Arabidopsis thaliana: one gene and its partners. The protein of the gene in region 3 interacts with the protein of the main gene of each other region in a pairwise test. Each region holds a gene or a part of one and is shown on either strand. Other genes may lie near its edges.

What was found.
Region 1: the proteins of FACE2 (region 3) and AT1G44960 interact in a protein complementation assay, tested with the Arabidopsis thaliana proteins (one large-scale study listed by BioGRID).
Region 2: the proteins of FACE2 (region 3) and LHT2 interact in a protein complementation assay, tested with the Arabidopsis thaliana proteins (one large-scale study listed by BioGRID).

What each region holds. Positions count from the first base shown.
Region 1 is NC_003070.9:16,996,634-17,003,489, forward strand, and holds AT1G44960 (SNARE associated Golgi protein family), read left to right. Parts: upstream 1-2,812; 5' UTR 2,813-2,942; coding exon 2,943-3,247; intron 3,248-4,333; coding exon 4,334-4,814; 3' UTR 4,815-5,101; downstream 5,102-6,856. Other genes in the region: AT1G44970 (Peroxidase superfamily protein), read left to right, coding at 5,604-5,873, 5,959-6,150, 6,237-6,402, 6,518-6,856.
Region 2 is NC_003070.9:8,649,652-8,656,353, forward strand, and holds LHT2 (lysine histidine transporter 2), read right to left. Parts: upstream 4,265-6,702; 5' UTR 3,911-4,264; coding exon 3,729-3,910; intron 3,645-3,728; coding exon 3,261-3,644; intron 3,054-3,260; coding exon 2,660-3,053; intron 2,575-2,659; coding exon 2,469-2,574; intron 2,372-2,468; coding exon 2,280-2,371; intron 2,189-2,279; coding exon 2,120-2,188; intron 2,011-2,119; coding exon 1,912-2,010; 3' UTR 1,756-1,911; downstream 1-1,755. Other genes in the region: AT1G24405 (uncharacterized protein), read left to right, coding at 5,602-5,787. UniProt on the Arabidopsis thaliana protein: Amino acid-proton symporter. Transporter with a broad specificity for neutral and acidic amino acids. Basic amino acids are only marginally transported.
Region 3 is NC_003071.7:15,211,626-15,218,411, reverse strand, and holds FACE2 (farnesylated protein-converting enzyme 2), read right to left. Parts: upstream 4,027-6,786; 5' UTR 3,806-4,026; coding exon 3,596-3,805; intron 3,288-3,595; coding exon 3,228-3,287; intron 3,143-3,227; coding exon 2,936-3,142; intron 2,763-2,935; coding exon 2,651-2,762; intron 2,549-2,650; coding exon 2,477-2,548; intron 2,402-2,476; coding exon 2,339-2,401; coding exon of another isoform or gene 2,283-2,338; exon of another isoform or gene 2,254-2,282; coding exon 2,176-2,253; intron 2,097-2,175; coding exon 1,963-2,096; 3' UTR 1,799-1,962; downstream 1-1,798. Other genes in the region: AT2G36300 (Integral membrane Yip1 family protein), read left to right, coding at 4,283-5,050; AT2G36295 (uncharacterized protein), read right to left, coding at 6,316-6,657. UniProt on the Arabidopsis thaliana protein: Protease involved in the processing of a variety of prenylated proteins containing the C-terminal CAAX motif, where C is a cysteine modified with an isoprenoid lipid, A is an aliphatic amino acid and X is any C-terminal amino acid.

The DNA.
Region 1 (6,856 bases), on a different chromosome or scaffold from region 3:
AGCTAGAGATATTCCAAAAATAAGTCACTCGGGATTAGAAGTGGGCGTTTGGATACCCATTCGTTAGGGTATTTCTAAATTTTGGGTTTGGATCGGGGTCAAGTCCGATATTTTGGGTTCGGAAACTGGTTACCCGAAGTTCTCAAAAATCAAAATTTTAAAACCAAATATATCCAAACTACTCGAAAATACAGAAAATAACTAAAAACCTTGAACACTTTTGTATTCAAATTTACTCAAAAGTAGATTAAATACCTAAAATTATTTTAAGTATCTGAAAATCTAAATATTTTGACGCTTAGATTATTGCAAATATAAATATTAATACGATCAAATGATTCTTCAACTTTTTTTGTTAATCTCCTCATTACTTTTAACAACAAGTCAAGAAATTGCTCGATTTGTTTTGCAATTTCTTGACTTGTCATCACATGTCTCCACAGTTCTCACATGTCATCACACTACTTAGTGTACCACAAAAAATCTGGTAAACCATACTATCATAAGAGGAACCAGGAGAATGGAGACATTTGTCCATGCATCTAGCAAATTAACCAGATACTCATGTTCATCTTCATGTGCCTCATATTCGTGTATTTTTAATACGCGTAGTTAAGCAATATATGATAAGCTAGAATTATAGTTTATTTTACTATATTAATTTTGACTCCACACAATGCGTGGAATACCCCCTAGTAAACTATAAAAAAAAATATGAATAGAAAGACGTAAATCTTTTTGACCTTGAATAAATAAGAAGCTTAACTTAACAAGCATCCAAAATGTATTTTTGTAATCCGTTTAATTTTATCAGAAATATTAAATTTTAAAATTTTATGATTGTGTATCATATTTAAACTAGATTTTAATCCGCGGTATATCGCGGGACGATTTATTTTTTAAAAGTAAGATATATTGAAACTTGCAAATTTTATTCTTATAAAATATTTATATTTTACAGTTTATAATTGTTACCACAATTTTTAGCTTAAAGTTTTATATTTTATAGTTTAATTTTATATATACTAACATTATACATACCACATAACATTTTTGGTTTTATATAATCTTTTCTAAATTAGGATGATTTGATATGTTTAATATTAATGGTCTTAAAAAATAATAAATTAAAGATTTAACCCGTATTGAAACGGTGATTTAATTATATTTTACTTTTTTTATTAATGTTGATTCAAAAACCCGTCCCTCCAAATCCATCTTGCCAAAAAGCCATTTATTTTATTAATATTAATTTTATTTATGATATGACTCTAAATTATAATCTAAACATTTTAGCTAATAACATAGAAGTGCACCATATTTATTTAATAGGGGAATGTACCATATGACCCGAATGCACTTTTACCCAAATCCACCAAAAAAGTCTTGCAAAAATACTATAGAGATAAGAAACGATAGTCGGTTTTGATAGGTATAAGATTAGCAAATATATTAGTTAGCTTAAATTAGTTAAAGAATACAAATTAAAAAGATATATTACACTTTATTCGAATATAGTATAAAAACTTATATAACACAGAGATTTGATAATTTTTTAATTGTTGAATACTTTTTTGTGCTAATTTTTATGTGATTAAGATTTAGTTGATTTCGTATATAAAATATTAAATTGTTTTACGAACTTATTTGTTTATAATTTGGTAACAGATAGATATTTGAATATTCAGTATATTTTGCTTAAGTTTAGGAAATCTTTGATGACCCGTCTTTAAATCAAATAAGCCCTATAATTAAGAGATGAACTAGGATTTAACCCGCGGTTTACCGCGGGCAATCGGTTTATTTGGTTCTTATACTAAATATTTGAATAAATTTGATATCCTAAACTTATAAATATAAATTTTTTAATCAGACATAACTAAATAATAATTGAGATTTTTTTTTGGTTGTTATTTAGTGATAAGAAGAATGTGTTAAAATGTGTTTAATTTTTCTTTTGTTATTTACTTATTTTTGTTGAACGGATTAGATTGAAGTGAATTAAAATTATTGAACGGTTTAGATTGAATCGGATCATATCAAGTTTAGGAGATTGTTAAGACCAAATTACCCTTAATGATTTTGAATAGCAAAGAACAAAATCCAAAATTGAAATCAAAATTGAGGCCAAATTAGACAAAATTTCAATTTGTACTTCCCTTTTAATAATAAGAGGATATTGTCGTTAAAAGATTTTGGTAATTAATGACGTCATTAAAGGATTTTGTTTTTGATTAAATTTTTCTAATGGCATTGTCATGTAATTAACTACAAAAATTAAGGTTAAATTTAAAATGTACTTCCCAAATAATATAGTAGGATACTTGTAATTTGTATCATTTATATGATATTTATATTTATATTTATATTTTATAATTGTCATTAAGTAACGATATACCACATAAGAAGTTTGTTTTGTACAATCTTATATTAATTAGACAGATGTTATATGTCTAACACTAGTGATATTAATAAATAATAAAATAAGAATTTCATCTGTATTAAAGTAGTAGGTTAATGATGTTTTATTTACTTATTAATATTGTTTCAAATCCGTTCCGCCATATAACTCCGTCTCGGAATATAACTCATCGCATATTATTTTAATTTTCCTAATATTATAAACTTTTATTGATTTTAAATACATCAATCATAATATTAATAATAATTTAAATGAAAAATTATAGAAAATAAATCGTGATTGTCAAGTTTTCACTTTTGATAATTTTTTCTTGTAATTAGTCAATTAGTGTTATATTGTGGAGAGTTGAATAGTCTCATTTTGCAATTTTAGAAGATCAAGGGTATATTTCCAAAACATTGCAGTTTTGAGGATTCAACTTGCAATTTACCCTTTTCAAAAATCACTTTCGACAATTACCAAAAACCAGTTCCCCCATTTCATTTCACGCTTTCTTCTCTTCTCATCTCAGAGCTCCGTGATGAAGAAATGGTTAGCAATCGCAGCGACGGTGGCGATAATTGCAATAATCGTTAGACAAGGCACGACACAATACGGATGGAACAAAGAGGCGGCGTTGGAAAAGCTAAAGGAATGGTCAGATCGGCTGGGGATTTGGGCGATTCCAACGTATGTAGCGGTTCACACAATAACCTTAGCTCTTTGTCTCCCTCACGCCGTCTTCTTTGAAGCTGGTGCTTCTATGCTCTTTGGTTTCCTTCCTGCTCTTCTCTGTGTTTTCTCTGCTAAAGTTCTCGCCGCTTCTTTCTCCTTCTGGATCGGCAGGTCTGCTTCTCAATTGCACTGTTATGTGATTCAAATTGATCTGTTGGATCGTTAGTTTGTGTCGCTAATGTACGAATTTGATCGAAATGATTTGGATTTAGAACAATGATTCTCACATGGCTTATCTTGGCTTCGTAGAAAGTATATGATTCATTAGTAATACACTCTGGTTTAGTTTATGTTATCGTGTTTTGTGAATGCTTAAGGTTTTACTTGGAGATGGTTTAGATTTTTCTTTAGTGCACCATTGTTGAAACCTTTTGCAGAACGTTTATTGAAATCCATTAAATTGTAAGCATGAATGATAGGAAGGGAATGTTTGTGTGAAGAAATGGTGTCATTGTTGGTTATTCAGCGGTAAGATAACACCGTTGTTCACCAAAAAGGCGGAGAAGATGCATGATATTTTCTTGCGAGATTTAGATGGATGTCTTCAGATTCTATAATGGTGTTTGGATAAGAGTGGTTGTTGTCTTGTGTATGTGACGGAGATGTAAAGAACCGTTAGATGCTTGTCATTTGCTTGTTAATATATGCTAGGGAATGATTTGCAATATTCACATTTATGCTGGATTTTTACATGGCTTCATAGAAACTATATGCTTCATTAGTAACACTCTGATTTAGTTTAAGTTATCGATTTCTGAGATTTTACTTGGAGATGTAGAATAAACTCTTTTGTTGGTTTTGATTGTCCTGCTATCGCTGAAACCTCCGTATACAGAAGTTTTCACGAAAATCCATTCTACTCTAAGCATTATAGGAAGTGGATCTTTGTGTAAAGAAATGATGTCATTTTGGCTGTTCAGAGGAAAACTAACACCGTTATTCGCCAAAAAGGCGGAGAAGATGCATGTCTTCCTATTCTATAATGGTGTGTGGATGAGATTGGTTGTTTTCTTGTGTATGTGATGGATATGTATGGACTAATTGTTAAATGCATGCTGTGATTCTAATTGCCAATTAATATATGTAGGAGAATGCAACTAGGATGTTGATTAACCTTAGCAATGTGATATGCAGTTTTATTTATTTATCTATCTATTGGGAGCACTTGCATTCTCTCATACTTTTTTGAATTTTCAGGTTTGTTTTTAAGAGTTCCACCAGAGCTACAGGGTGGGCGCATAGCAACAAGTACTTCAATATTCTCTCAAGAGGAGTTGAGCGCGATGGTTGGAAGTTTGTTCTTCTTGCAAGGTTCTCGCCCATTCCTTCCTATGTCATAAACTACGCTTTGGCAGCTACTGAAGTCCGGTTTGTAGCTGATTTTCTGTTCCCCACGGTTATTGGCTGCCTCCCGATGATCCTGCAGAACGCATCAGTCGGTAGCCTCGCTGGTATGGCTGTGGCTTCAGTAGCTGGAAAACAGAAAAGTCAGGTCTGGGGTTATGTTTTCCCAGTACTTGGGATACTGTCAAGTGTTCTGATTTCATTGAGGATCAAAAAGTACTCAGCTGGAATTACAGAGGCATCATCAGATACCTCTGCTAACAACTCTAGTTTAGCTTCATCTGAAACTGCGAATCCCGCTTATGGAACCGATGGATCCAAGAAAAGTGAGTGATTATACAAACCATGATGGTGGTTTTTGATCGCCGGTATTACACTTTGTTTGGTTTGCAGCTATCAGATTCTCAACATCATGGCTTATTTTGGACGAGTTAGGCAGTATCTTAATAGTAACAAAGCATTAGTTTTTGTACTTCTTAAGTTAAAAGCTTAGAACAAAACAACAGTGTTATTTTCTATACCAGACACAAAAACTGTGTCGTTGTAATAACACTTACCATAACATTTTCTTTCAGTGTATGTTTAAAGCCGTTTATATGGTTGAAGCAATGTGACTAAAATTTTTGTAGCATTGAAACAAGCTATATTTGCATTGCTATGGTCTTGTTTTGTGACTAAAAGACTTGGATGCAGAATGGATATAAGTTAAATGTCTGATTTTGTAAATAACTTATGAAGAGAAAATCTTTATTCGGTAAGAGTTGTTTTCTCAATGTAGCAGTTCACTCATCATTTTCAAACTTCAACTCTCAGAGAACACAAAGAGGTTAGACAGTGCAGATGCTTATGGTTGAGAAGCTTTACCTAACAATGGTACAAGGCGGTTTTGTTGGGATCACATGTGAAGTTAGGCACATGGATTCGTTCTTGGAGTTGGTACAAGGACTTCTAAAAGACAACAATGAGGTATAATAAGGACAAGTTGACTATGTCTCTCTCTTTTATCTTAACATTCTAAATTAGGATTTGGTAAACTGAGAGCAGTTAGCTTCTTGAATCTCTAAAGTATAAAAACCCTCACCGTTTTACTACTATCTCATCTTAAAACTCCCAAGTAACAAAAATGGCTATCTCAAAGCTTATTCCTACTCTTGTGCTCTTTGTTTTGTTCTCTTTTGATGTTAGTGTTGCTCATCCAGGTCTAGGATTTGGATGGGGAAGTAATAGTCCCATTGGAGGATCTTTTTACTCAAATCTTTACCCACAATTTTACCAGTTCTCTTGTCCACAAGCTGATGAGATTGTTATGACGGTGCTCGAAAAAGCCATAGCTAAAGAACCAAGAATGGCAGCATCTTTACTCAGACTTCACTTCCACGACTGCTTCGTTCAGGTAAAAGTATCTTTACCTATTTTTGTTTTCCCTTTATGTGTCTCTTAAGCTTAACACTTATACACTACACTCTGTGTGTAAACAGGGCTGTGATGCATCAATCTTGTTGGATGATAGTGCAACCATAAGAAGTGAAAAGAATGCTGGACCAAACAAGAACTCCGTTAGAGGGTTTCAAGTAATCGACGAGATCAAAGCCAAACTTGAGCAAGCTTGTCCTCAAACTGTCTCCTGCGCCGACATTCTAGCTCTAGCTGCTCGTGGCTCAACTATACTGGTAAAATTAAGAGACCTTCAAGAGAAACTATTGGCTCAGTTACAAGTTATATAGCTTATATTTATCGAATTTGTGGTTCAATGCAGAGTGGTGGACCATCATGGGAGCTTCCACTAGGGAGGAGAGACTCGAGGACCGCTAGCCTTAATGGCGCAAACACGAACATTCCTGCACCTAACTCAACTATTCAAAATCTCTTAACCATGTTCCAACGTAAAGGTTTGAACGAAGAAGACCTTGTTTCCCTATCAGGTGAGATTAACATGTATTTATCTTTTGTTTAAGGAGTTGGCAAGGAAACCAAACCGAGACCGGTTTCTTAAAACCGAATGATAACAACGTTTTTAACCAAACCAAAATGTTGCAGGAGGACATACGATTGGAGTAGCGAGGTGCACAACGTTTAAACAAAGACTATACAATCAAAACGGTAATAACCAACCAGACGAGACGCTAGAGAGGTCTTACTACTATGGTCTCAGGTCAATTTGTCCACCAACAGGCGGTGACAACAATATTTCACCTCTAGACTTAGCCTCTCCTGCAAGATTCGACAACACATACTTCAAGCTCCTTCTATGGGGCAAAGGCTTATTGACATCAGATGAAGTGCTTCTCACTGGCAATGTAGGCAAGACTGGTGCATTAGTGAAAGCTTATGCCGAAGACGAGAGACTTTTCTTCCAACAATTCGCAAAGTCGATGG
Region 2 (6,702 bases), on a different chromosome or scaffold from region 3:
ATTATATTTTCTTTAAATTGTAATCTAATATAATTTGTTACATTTCTCAATGTTACAATTTATGTTGTACTTCTAAAATAATAGTATAGGTTCAAAACCAAAACGTTATCATTTGCTGTGTGGGGCATACACATCATGCGACATGGTTAGTGTTTCTTAGTTTTGCATGGATGTGAGGAAGAGTTTATTTCATTGTGCTCACGTTACCTGTGCGCGAATTTGTTGATAGGCGTTATGGAATGAATCTCCCTAAAGATGCAGATATAAATGATGGAGTGTTGTCTCATAGTTGCTAGGCATTTGTAATGAGATATGCATTGTCGTTTGTTAAACAATTTGGCATACCAAGAGAGGGGGAGATGTATTTTAACTTCAATTTAGAAATGTCATGATATCCCGAGAAAAAAAAAAGGTACTCCATAGATTAAATCTTTTTATATATATAATATAACAAGCATTTTTCTAAACTATGTCTAATAATGTGGTGTTTGACATTCTATTTTAATAACACATGTACTTTTCATTAGTTGTAGTTTGACTAAAATTAGTCATTAGATATATCATGTATTTTATAAGAATTTTTTCCAACTTTAGTTTTTTGTACCATAATTGTTGCTTCTTTAATTAATTATATTAATTTATTTAAATGTACCGTCCACAATTTCTCTTCCTGAAAATAACTATTTTCCTATCCTATTTCACTATATCTCAAAATCAAAATTTTAATTTGTTTTGTGTTAATTCAAGGTAAAATTTTAACATAATAATATTTTAAAACTATATTGTAACATTTAACTATACAAACAAAAATAATTCTCTAATTTAATAAGAATTTAACTACATCAATGATGATCATTTAGTAAGATGGCTTGCTTGTTGTATAAGCACCACTACAAAAGTCTCGTAATGACTTAGAGGTCTAGCAATACGGCACGATAAAGCTAATTTGCCATATGATATGTCATAAACTGTAGTCTCAAAAGGTTGAAGAGCGGTGAGATCCATGGTGTCCAAAGTAATGTGGTAAGAGGAAGCAGCAGAATGCGTGGACTGGTTGTATATACTTATACTACTGAGCTCTATGTTTTTCTCCTAATATTAATCAAGAAAGAATTGTATGACAAAATACATGCATAGACAAAGAAACAAGAAGATCATGTACATATAGAGCGAGTTTAATCAAAGCTGGATCGGAGCAAATTGTAACGATGAAGCCGAGCCTAGCATAAAGGATAATTAAGGCAGGACAAGGAGAAGACTCATCAAAGAGCTTTATAACCAAAATTGCCGATTTCTCTATTAGATAGAAATTGATGAAAGGACATTTTGTTCTTGGTCTGCCGTTTACAAGTAAACTCTCCACAAAAGGGTACATGTGGCGTTACGAGTTACGACCAGAATCACAGGTTCACGTATCAACAAAAACAACGTATAAATCAAGATATTTGAAAAGCCAAAATAATAAACGAAGCTATTAAATTATTCTCATCACTCATGCATGCTGTACTGGAAAGTATAAATTCGTTTTCAAGTCATGTCATATTGTTGACAGGTGAAAACCCCGTGATTAAGATTAAATCTAACCACAGATCCAAATCATCTAATGTAAATGTATCCATAAACCATAAAGAAAAACAAAACGCAGTGTCGTGCTGACCATGGTAACATTGCATCTAGACGTGTCATAAAATTCCCGTGTACGTTCTTGCATAAATTACGAAATCACAACATTAGAAGAACCAGATCATGGAGATTAATTATTTGAAAAAGAGTTTATTATCAAAAGAAACCAAAGATAATTGTCTTAACTACAATGAAAACATAAAATTTACTTAAACGGACAGTCACATAAAATTAGACATGCCGTGATTTTATTTTTCGGTTGCGCGGTTACAAAAAAAAGTGATCCATCTAAGAGAAGAACTTGTAGGTCTTGGCGTTGATAATGATGGTTCTGAGTCCTCCAATTGGGGCAAGGATCGTCAAAAGAACTCCTACTATGATGCAGAACTGTATTTTTTCATAATCCACAACACCAACAAACCAAAACACAAAAATTGTTACTTTACAAGAAAACAAGAGCTATAGATTATGTACCATTGATTACTAAAGAACATACCCAGTTAGCTGTCCAAGATAGACCAAACCTCTTTGGTTTCTTGAGAACGAGCCACATAATGCATGGAAGCTGCAGTTACAAATTAATATGTGTATATAAATTCACAACTTTAATCTATGGATAAACCAATAAAGAAATGAAGGGATTATTTGTACTATACGTAGTAAGTTGTTGGGGCAAAGGCGAATCCTCCAAAGAAGCCGAGTAGTCCACCGAAAAACGGGACGCATATCGCAACAATCATCGTGAAAGCTGCACGGTCCAATGTACATTGATGAAAATGAGATTAATTAATGAATGGAGTAGGAGGATGACGTTACATATGTATAAATGAGGAGTGGGTTCTTACCGACGTAAAGACTACGAGTAATGAAGCGGAGCTTGAAAGAAGGATTGAAATTCATCTTTTTGACCAAAACGGTTTCGAGCATGTCAAAAACTGGCATTGCAAATATCTGAATCCACACAAAGGTGTCAATATTCATGAAATAATTCTTACTTCAATCAAAAATATAGAAGTACTAGAATGTGGAAGAATACCTGATAGCTTCCAATGACATGGATAACCACGAACATGTTAGCCATAGCAATAAGCCAGATAGGCTTCTCCAAAGTGATGAGGATGTTGTCATCAACGCTGTTTCCAAAGATATAATAGCCGAGGAATGCTACAGGGAAGTAACAGATGGCGACTACAATGTAGGCTACAATAACTCCTCTCCACATTGGGACCTTGGATGGCATCTCCGGAGTCGAAGGGATTGTGGCCTGAATCTCCAACACAACGTTGTGACCTGCATAAGCAAAAGCCACATCTCCCAACGCATTCAAGAAGTTGAATACTTTTCCAACATCGGTTGATGCTCTAGGAGAGTAGTCCACATCTGGATGTACCCCTTTGTGCACGGATGCAGCCCAAGCAATAGTTGAGTAACTGTACAGATCATAAAAATCATCAGGCAATAAAACCTAGTTTTCTACATATTTTGGGATTATGCTAAGTTTTTCTTCTAATAACCGGAAAATATACAACAATTTTGATCCCTAGCCTTGAACCACAAGGCATGCTCTAGGTTAATTATTCTAACTTTCTGTTCAAGTTATAAAGTAAAACCAATATATGTGTGTTGAAGAGATTTACGTTAAGGACATAACAGCCGCGGCAAGTGAGATGATGGAGATAGAGTTGAAATTGGGAAGGTGAGAGATAACAAAGTGGACGGAAGCAAAGATCATGATCCAAAACGTAGTTCTGATCTCTTTGCAATCGGGACAGACTAGTTGATGGACTTTCTTGAGGGATGCTCCTCCTGTGACCATATAAACGATGTCAACACCGACCTCCACGATAAGCTGCTGCGGCACGACGATCCATAGGCCAAGCTTTTCACCAAAAGCGTGTTGACCTAGCTCGTGATACCTATCAAGCCTCTTCCCTGGAACAATCTCATGCATCTCCACCATTTGCCACAGTGTGTACAACGTTATGATCCATGACATCACCATAATCGTCACTCCAGGTCCCCTGTAATACATCAAAAACTCAGATCAGATCATGGATTAAAACATAAAGGAGATTAAGATTATCAGATTCAACAAATTAGTATACCATCCGAGATTGGACATAGCGTAGGGCAAGCTAAGAACACCAGCACCAACCATGGCGGTGACATTGTGAAAAGCAGAGTACCACCACTTAGCGTTTCTGGAAGATGTGATCGGTAACCAATCGTCGACGTTCTTCTGCTTGGCCGCCGCAACCTCACTCGCTGACATTTCACTGTTCCCCATATCTCCTTGTGATATAATCGAGAGATAGTGTTTGGTTTTTGAGAAAGAGATTAGATACAATTAAGAAGATTTTAGGAGGATAAAGATAAGAGTGATATTTAAGAGGAGGATAGATATTCTCTGACGGTTTAGGATTTTACCTGCTTAATTATTCTATTCAACGATTTGTTAGCGTTTATGAGAGTGTAATAAATAGGTGATGAGATTCTGACTTTTCCGAATTTGAAGGGAATGTTTGTTAGTTTGTTTGGTAGTTTTGTTTAGTGTGTTTGGTCTTTTTTTTTGCCCGAGGCATAAGGCACCATCGGCTGGAAGCTGTTTCATGCTTAGACCAATTTAAATACTAATTTACCCCCAATCGTTCTTCTTGATTCAATGATTCTCTTTACATTGACATGGCTTTTTTTTGTAATTTCGTACTTTTTTCTCCCTGTATTTGCATGATTTATTTTCTTTTTTGGATAGAGCTGAATTTTTCTTTTCATGGTCACCTGATCTAACGAGTGTTTCGCTTTTAAAAAATAAAATAATATTTATTCGATAGATAAATATATCTTTCTCATTTAATGATTATTTTGAGTTGACCGACAAAAAATTAGCTGTTTTTTTGTTTTTCTTTTAGTAGAATTTATTTATATCTTGATATATATATATATATATATATATATATATATATATATATATATATATATCTAAGAGAAAATATGTTAAAAATCTATATATTTAAGCAATAACTATATTATTAAATTACTAATAGTGGCATAAAAATGCTAACATATTATTAGTTAGACAAAACGCTCTTAGATATATAAGGTGATGAGTTGTATATATTATTATTTTTTGTTAATTTTGCATATTTGTAATGTCGATGATGAGAAATTGAGAATGATCAGAGTATAAATACTCCAACTAAATCTTGGTCGTAGTGACGTTTCGCTAGCGTAATCTCTCTTTTTGACACTGTAAATCAAAATCACGAAACGTCATGACATCAAAAGGAAGATAAATATCTATATATTTTCTTTTTTCATCTTCTATTACAAAGTCAATGAAACAGACGAACTATTTATGCTTAGCGTCACTTGCATCCCGTGATATTTATGAAGGAAAACTAAAATTGTTGAAGCATAAATGCATGGTTATTTGTCACAGTATTCCCAATTGATTAGAGGGTCGCTCGAACGAATCAAGGGACCGCTCCGATTAATGATATGGTTGACTATAAAAAACAATTATTGTTGGTAGTACAATGTCACAAAACGAAACAAGCGTAATAATATAATTTCAAAGCGTGACAAAAAAAATTGTATGTCGTTTTTTATCAACAGTAATTAATCTACTCAACTATCCTTTGAAAATGTTGAATAAAATGTAAAAGAGAAATTAGGTTGAACCGTTGAAGCGTATAGTTTTTGATTACTCAAAAAAATTCAAGTGTTTCAGGTAAGGGGTTCTTTTCTTGTTGAAGGGTTTTCACAGTCAAAGGTGAAAGATGTTGATTCTTTGTCCAACCAAAGGGCAAAGAGGCACAACTAAAAACAGATAAACCCCAAAAATAAGCAACCAAGAAACTTATAGACATTGTGTCAAACCAATACTGTCTATAATAAGTAAAACAAAATCTTTCTTTCACCCTCATATTTGTTTCTAAACCTTCTCATTCCACAAAATCTTAAAGAGAGACGAAGAAGATGGATTCTGGACTATCATGGGCTGATCAATGGGATTACAACTCTGATCCTCCTCCAAATTCAAGTAACGAAGACGATAAGAAGAAGAAGAAGAAGAAGAAGAAGGAAGATGGAAGCAAAAGCGGTATCGGGAAGGCCATACTTGGATTCAAATGGATGAAACTTGGCAAGAAATCTGATAAGTAATCAATAGGTTATTTGTTTAGTTACAAAAGGGTTATTGATTCATCTGTTCCTTGTGATTAATCCATTAAGTTCTGCTTCTCTCTTTTAACCATTCTTCTGATTGTAATTGTTAAATCTTTAACATTTAGAAAGTTCGTTGGTTGCGGTTGATTGTGTATTTATATTTTTGTTGGTGAGAATTTAATAGCGACCAGGAATTGTGTTTTTGTTTTATTAAAGGTGTATTATAAAATCATTAATCCTATTAGATGAGTACATGTAAAAAAAATCATCCTTTTGAGTTTGTAATACCTAAAATGACAAAGAAAACTTAATGGATCGCTAAACACTCGTAAAAGACGTCTAGGCAATAAACAACGATTCAAAATATCACTATCCTAGTTTACTAAAATCAGCAACATGCAGGATGTACCGACAAGTAACCTCTCACAAAATTCATAAACCATGCCATATAGGCATAGTTTAATCTAATGCCGCGTCACCATCTGGATGCAAACAACAAGCAAAGTGAGATGTTCAAAAGAAAATATCTTTAAAATTGTAATACTCTTTAGCTTTTTGTAAACTACTTTTAACGTAAACGTGAAGAAAAAGTTTGACATTTATTCATACAAAAAAAAAAATATATACAAAAGGTTTGACATTTACATTATTATTTTTTTAATTTAATGTTAAATTAGATTTAAAAGAAAATAGCGTTTTTACAACTAGTGCAACGATAGATTAAAAAACATTGTGTTGAATAACGATTAACAGAAAAAAAAAAGATGTTTGAGATGCTTGGATAATGGATTCATTTTAGAAAAATTGCAATCATAATCTTGAATCTGCAAACAATTAAGGCCAATAAAAATTAGCTATCTAGTCCTAGAAAGGAAAAATGTCCTTTTTGTAAAATCAAAGGACCCCTTAAGG
Region 3 (6,786 bases):
GCAACAAAACTCTTTAGGACAAGACTTGGATTCGGATAATTAGGAGAACCCATCATTTTTATTTTTTATTTTATTGGTGTAATGTAAGAAAAATTAGCTAAGTAATAGTGGTTAGTGGTAGTATTATTAATTATGGAGTAGTTTTTATATTTTTGTTGGGTTCTTCTAATTAAATTACTACAAAAAGGACAGAGTGTTGTATGCTCTCTGGCCTATCTTCTGAGGGATATTTTACTTTTGTTTCCATTTATATGTTAATTAGATTTTCTATTTTGCCTTTTCATGTGGGGTTTGGTTGTTTAGGACATGGTGGATTCTGGGACTACATTGTACCTTCTGCTCTTCTCTTAAACAACCAGTATCTTTAAATTATTTATTTATCTCTTTTATTATTGGGTTCTACATTTTCCTTTATCTTTTATAAATTTCATGGTCTTGAAATAACAAATTGTGAACAATAAGATTGGAAAATGTGACTTTTATTATTCAGTTATGTTAGTTAAGAGTTTTCTAATCTCGACCAGATTTATTTTCAAGGTACCATGTAATTGATATTAACAAATTTGTAAAGTGGTTGTTTTCTTTTAATTATTGAAATTTATATATGGATAAAGTAGTGATAAGGTCCATAAGGATATCAGAAGATACGAAAAAGTGTTTAGGAGAACATAGGTTTACCACCAATTTTAAATCACGTGATCAAAGTTGTATCCTATTGACTGTATCATATTAAAACGTCATTTATTACCTCCTTTACAAAAAAACAAATATTTCTTAATGAAATTTTGTGGTGTATTTTGCGATGATAAATTTAAAATGTAAGGTAAATAAATATTTTGAATTTTACTCACTTATTTATAATATAAATAAATAAACGTAAATTAACATAATTTTGCAAATTTTTAGTATTAGTGAAAATTTAGTTGATTTTTCTTTTTGTATTAGTTCCCTTTTTTTAACGGTTTGTATTAGTTCAAATACCAGCAATATTTATGCTCTCTATTATAAAAGCTCAACTTACAACTATAAAATAAGAATAGGATTTATGAATAGATCATAATAGTATTGGTCTTCATCTTTTTAAAACTATCCACATAAACAATAGTAATGAATCTCACTAGATAGTAGTAGTGTATAGTTTGGGTAAAATACATTTTAGAGTAGATTACTGCATATTGGTTTTGTCGAGGATGATTTTCCGGTTCAACAAATTCTGTTATATGCAAGCATAATCAACCACATCTTCTTTATGAAGAGATCCTCTCCCGTTAAATCACCGTTTACTTCACACAAACACAATATATGTGTAGTGTACAGATAATTTATTGACCATAAATTCAACTATCCAAGCTTCAAATTTCGTAGGAATATGACATAGTAATCAAGTGGTGGTGAGAAAATTACTGAGAGACCTACGAATCCTAGAAACATAATTTTCGTAACTCCTAAGTGAAAATCATCATCATAAACTCAGACTTTGAAAGTCAACTTTGAAATATAATTTTCAGAAAATTATATCCGTTTGATGATTACCCCCAAAATCTCTTTGGATGATCATCAAGCAAGACATCATCTTCTGAATCTCTGATGTAAGATTATGGACCTATGTTCAATTTCTAATCATTGTTTCTCTATTTTTATATATAAATCAAATGAATTTTGGCGTGTTGACATTGGACAATATAGTTTAGGTTAGACTTGGGGATGTAGATCATCCTTCTTCCTGTCCCTCCTAGGATAGCAAGAGAATCATTAGGGATAATACCGGAAAAAAATGGACAATTAGCCAACACTAATTTTGGAGACTTGAACCAATTATTATTATTATTATATATTTACAAGGAAAAAACTACATAAACTATCAAGAAACATTAGCTTGCAGTAAAAGACCATAATTCCAATATTGTGTCAAAAAATAGATTCTAAGACATGATGATATATAAAAAAAAACTTGGAGAAGTGTCAATTCCACAAACAATAGCCAAGCCAACACGGACAATCGTTGGTACTATCGTTGTACATGAGAGGCTTTGTTAAAGGAAAGAGAAGTAAGACGAACCCAACCACACCGCCTAAGAACGCTGCACTCACCAAACCTGAGAGAAGAACCATAACCATGTTTAGCTTATTCTTTTGCATTTGCATTTGTTAACAACCTTGAACTTTATGTCTTACCTTTTCCATTTGCGTATAGCACAGGCAATCCCATGTAGTTGCAAAATATATGAGCAAACAAAGGAGCAGCAAGATGTCCTGTAAAATTTACACAATGCAGGAGACAATCATCCATTAGAAAGGCTTTTACATGTATAAGATATATAAATGCCTGGAATGTTACCGGTTCTGATGAAGAGAAACGATGCATATGCACCAAAAATGACTGTGTAGCCAAGCTGAAGACCTGATCAACGGACAAGTGAAGCTCAGGACTGATCAACAAACAATATTATTATGATTATGGATGGCAAAGACATACCAACAATAAGTGAAGCCCGGAGATAGCTGCGGTTATGCCTGATGTACATCTCTCTAAAATGGTTTAAGTGAGCTACACAAAACATATAAAAGTCAGACAAATCCAGTAATTTTCTTTTCACTCGAGTTGTAAACTGTTATTCACAGAGAGAGAGAGAGAGAGAAAGAAACAAACCCAAGCTAAAGAGAACTGGGCACAGAAAGATGGCAGTGTTAATCCTAAACCCAGCACACAGAAGCAAAGGTATCATACATGATCGGAAAACCAGCTCCTCAGTTACTGGTGCCTGCAAATCATAAGAAACGCCAGCTCTAACAGATTATAACTTGTTCGATTTAGAACTTACTTATACACCAAACTGATGCATATAGTCCTCAGACAATTAGCAAGCAATGCCTTATGCAATTTCAATAAAGAATTGACAAGATAAGCACACAGAGATGGCAAACATATGATTACCACGATAAAATTGCGCCAAACGGAAACATTAGAAGCACTTGTCAATACCGAAGCAGGGATTGTTTGGAAAAAGCTTCTGATGTAATTAAAGGAACTACATCCTCCGCCATTTTCCTTCCATGATTCCAGGAGAGTAAACAACTTCAACACCAAAGACCCAGCATAAACGAGCGAGGTCAATAGAAGAGGATACACCACTCCTTGCCACTGTTCCATATCACAAAACATAACCATTTTAATATGAATAGTGTACAATAAGCTACGAGTAAACAAATTGAGACAAAGAACTTACCAGATGATCTTTCCTTATGCCATAAACTCCAAGTATATAAGAGGCCTCCCAGCTTTTTATCTAACATTACTCAAGCAAAAAAGGAAGACAAGTTTCAGAGATTCCTGTAACTAGCGTTGAATTGTACCAAACACAACATAGTCACCAATATTTGAGTGTTACATTCTTAGAGACAAATTGTGTGAACCTACAACAACTAGTAAAAGCTAATTCAACTCTCAACAAAGTTACAAATACATCAAATTTCTTTACTTTTAGTTTAACTTTCATCAAAACACCAAATGCATCTAGATTTGGACCTAATTTGGTTACAGATCAACGGAGAATGAACTTCAAATCGAGAAATGGCGGTACTCAAAGAAGCTTACCGGAAGTATAAAAGCTGTGAAGACGAGAGATGCTACAGTACAAATGGCCGCGCAGATGAATCGCCGAATCATGAATTCGGTGTAAGAAGAAGCCGACGGGAGACGGAGTATCACGGTGGGAACGTAAAGGATCAAAACGTAGAATAGTGCCATCGCGACGCAGGTAGCCACCGCCAACGACATCGAGATACTCTCGCCATCGGTGGCCATAATCGTTGAGGAAGCTCCGGCGAAGAAATATACCGGCTAATAAGTGTCGAAGTCACCGCTGGTTAAATCTTAGTCCGGCGGTCTTCTAATCTTTAACCAATTACATCGTGCCACGTTATAGACTAAAACGGATGACTACTGGGCCGAACAGACCCATTGGGCCAATTTCGTTTATAAAAGAGGGTATAACGGTAATATCATCAGAAGATATACGTCACCATGCCAGTTTCGAAGAAGCCTATTGGTTATATTTCGTCATTAACTAGACGGAATGACGAAACTACCCTCAGATGCCTTCTTCTAAAGTTGTCTCTTCACTGTCAAGAAGAAGAAGAGAACAAAAAAAAGAAAGGAATTTTCTCTGAAACGTCACGAACGTGTGAATTGGGTTAAAAAATTCATCTCATTGATCCAAACTTGAAACCCTAATTTCGAATCTCTTTGCTGATTTGGTGAGATCTCAATTTCGGAAAGAAGATGACGAAGGATTTCGCAGTTCCACCTGTAGTTTTCCCCTCCGGTGGATCTTCAGGCGGTGCTAATGTCCAGCAACGAAGATTCCCAGCGACACCGTTTCAACCGCCGCGTCCCTCTTCTTCCGCAATCCCTTTCATGTCATTCGACATTGGATCCGCAGCCGCGTCTTCCGCTACACCTGCCGGACCATTCGGCGGGACAATCGCTTCCTCTTCTTCTTTTGGTGGAGGTTCAGCTTCGTTTGAAGATGAGGAGCCATTACTCGACGAGCTCGGTATCCATCCAGATCAAATCTGGAAGAAGACTAGATCGATTCTCAATCCTTTTCGGATTAACCAAGCTGTTCACAAAGATTCAGATCTATCTGGTCCGATCTTTCTGTACCTTGCGCTTTGCTTATTTCAGTTGTTAGCTGGTAAGATCCAGTTCGGTGTCATACTTGGATGGATCGTCGTCTCCTCTATCTTTCTATACGTCGTCTTTAACATGCTTGCTGGTAGAAATGGGAACCTTAATCTCCATACGTGTACGAGCTTGGTCGGATACTGTTTGCTTCCGGTGGTGGTTTTATCGGCGGTGTCATTGTTCGTTCCCCAGGGAGCAGGGCCGGTTCGGTTTGTGCTTGCGGCTTTGTTTGTGTTGTGGTCCACTAGAGCCTGCTCTACATTGGTGGTATCTCTTGCTGATGGTGGAGAAGAGCACCGTGGCTTGATCGCGTACGCTTGTTTCTTGATCTATACTCTCTTCTCTCTTCTTGTTATATTTTGATTCCATATTGATAGATCGTGAATCACTTCCGATGCTGTGTTAGCAAGTAGCAAAAAAAGGCTGCAATATAAGTTCTTTGATGTGAGGTTGAATTGGGTGGGAATAGCACGGTGTGTAAAGGCTTTTTTGGATAAATTTAGAAAGGTGTTTAAGAAATTTGATTCAATGTTTGTATCTGTCACTTGATCTTTAAGGTTCTTACTTAAGAATTATTTATACAATTTGGTCGATATGTCTTTTGACATAGTTTGTTCCTGGACATTAGATTTGTGAGAGTATTGGAATTGATGTTGCGGATGATATGCTTCTGTACTAATGCAGAAGAGGTTTATATGCTTCCTATTTCATGTTTATTTTGCTATTTACTTTCCCGGTGTGAGGCTATGAAGATGTGCTGACTTCTTGCTTGGATTATACTTAAAGGTCCCAAGTTTTAGGAATGATTGGCATTAGATTTGCTTAAAGTATGGCTCCATGTAGGTAGAGTAGAATTTTGAGTTGGTTTTAGAGCTGTTGGAAACTTAGGCATAGTCTAATGAAAGAGTGATTAGTATTTAGTGGTTTGCTCGGTGTTGGTATGTTCCCTGATTAGGTGGCATAGATAAGTAGGGACATGGGATCTTGGCTTCAGGTTCGTCTTCTACTGTCAATCCCAGAACTGCACTTACTTTTCCTGATAGTATTTGCTGTGTCACGGAAATTAGAGAGAGATTTATCCGCAATTCATACTCTCTTAGATGGAATTTGTTTTAATGTGTCGAGAAGAATCAGCTATGTCCAATTGAGTGAGCATAGTATTTGTCAGCTTTACCTTCTCCTAAAACATTCAGTAGAACTGGTGTTAGAAATGATCTCTATATTTTCGTGTTGCAACACTCGTTCCGAGGGAACCATTTTTGTGTTCCACCTTTTCTTTAGAATCCAAATTGACTCAAAGGGGAGTAGGCAATTGTTTTAAACATACAATGTAAAGATGTAAAATTTCTGATATATCTGGTGGATGTACTTAAGACATACCCTACAATTTCGATCCTTGGACTCAATTGAAACCAAACTTTTAGGCGGCTTGGTCTCTCCCTTACCAGGATCTTGTCAAAGGAAACCATATATACTCATACTCACCTAGTTCTTCCATGATATCCAGATAGTGATAAACCATCTGATTAAACACTCGTAACACTTGCATATATTGACAAGATTATCTCTCAAGTGTCTATAAGATACGTATTTGTGTTTCAAGGTAAAATTGTAAGATATACATCTGATTAAGTATTCTTACTCTCAATTCTTTGATTATCAACATAGAGAACCCCTCTAGACCAAACCAAATCACTCCAACCTCTTGATGTTGCCGGTACGGCATTAGAGATTTCGGCAGCTGGTAATAGACAGTTGGCCAGTAAAACGCTACCTGTTCTCGCCGGTAATCTCTGGCAATCATACGGTGGAGATGTGGCCGTATCACTGACGGCCTCCAGGTTTATCTCGAACAGATCATCTTCGCCGTCTTCTTCACTACTTCCCTCGCCATCGTGTTCAGGTTCGTTTGCTTCTTGTTTCTCCTCTTCTTCTGTTCCACGGTTAACCAAACCAACACAACGTGTCATTGTTGATTTTGAAATAATTTCCGGTTTAAGAGTCCTTGTGGTTTTAAACTTGATTATGTGGTTAATACGTATATATAAAGGTGATTAAAGTAGAAGGTGGGTTAGTAGAACGGTCCTCAACGAATATAC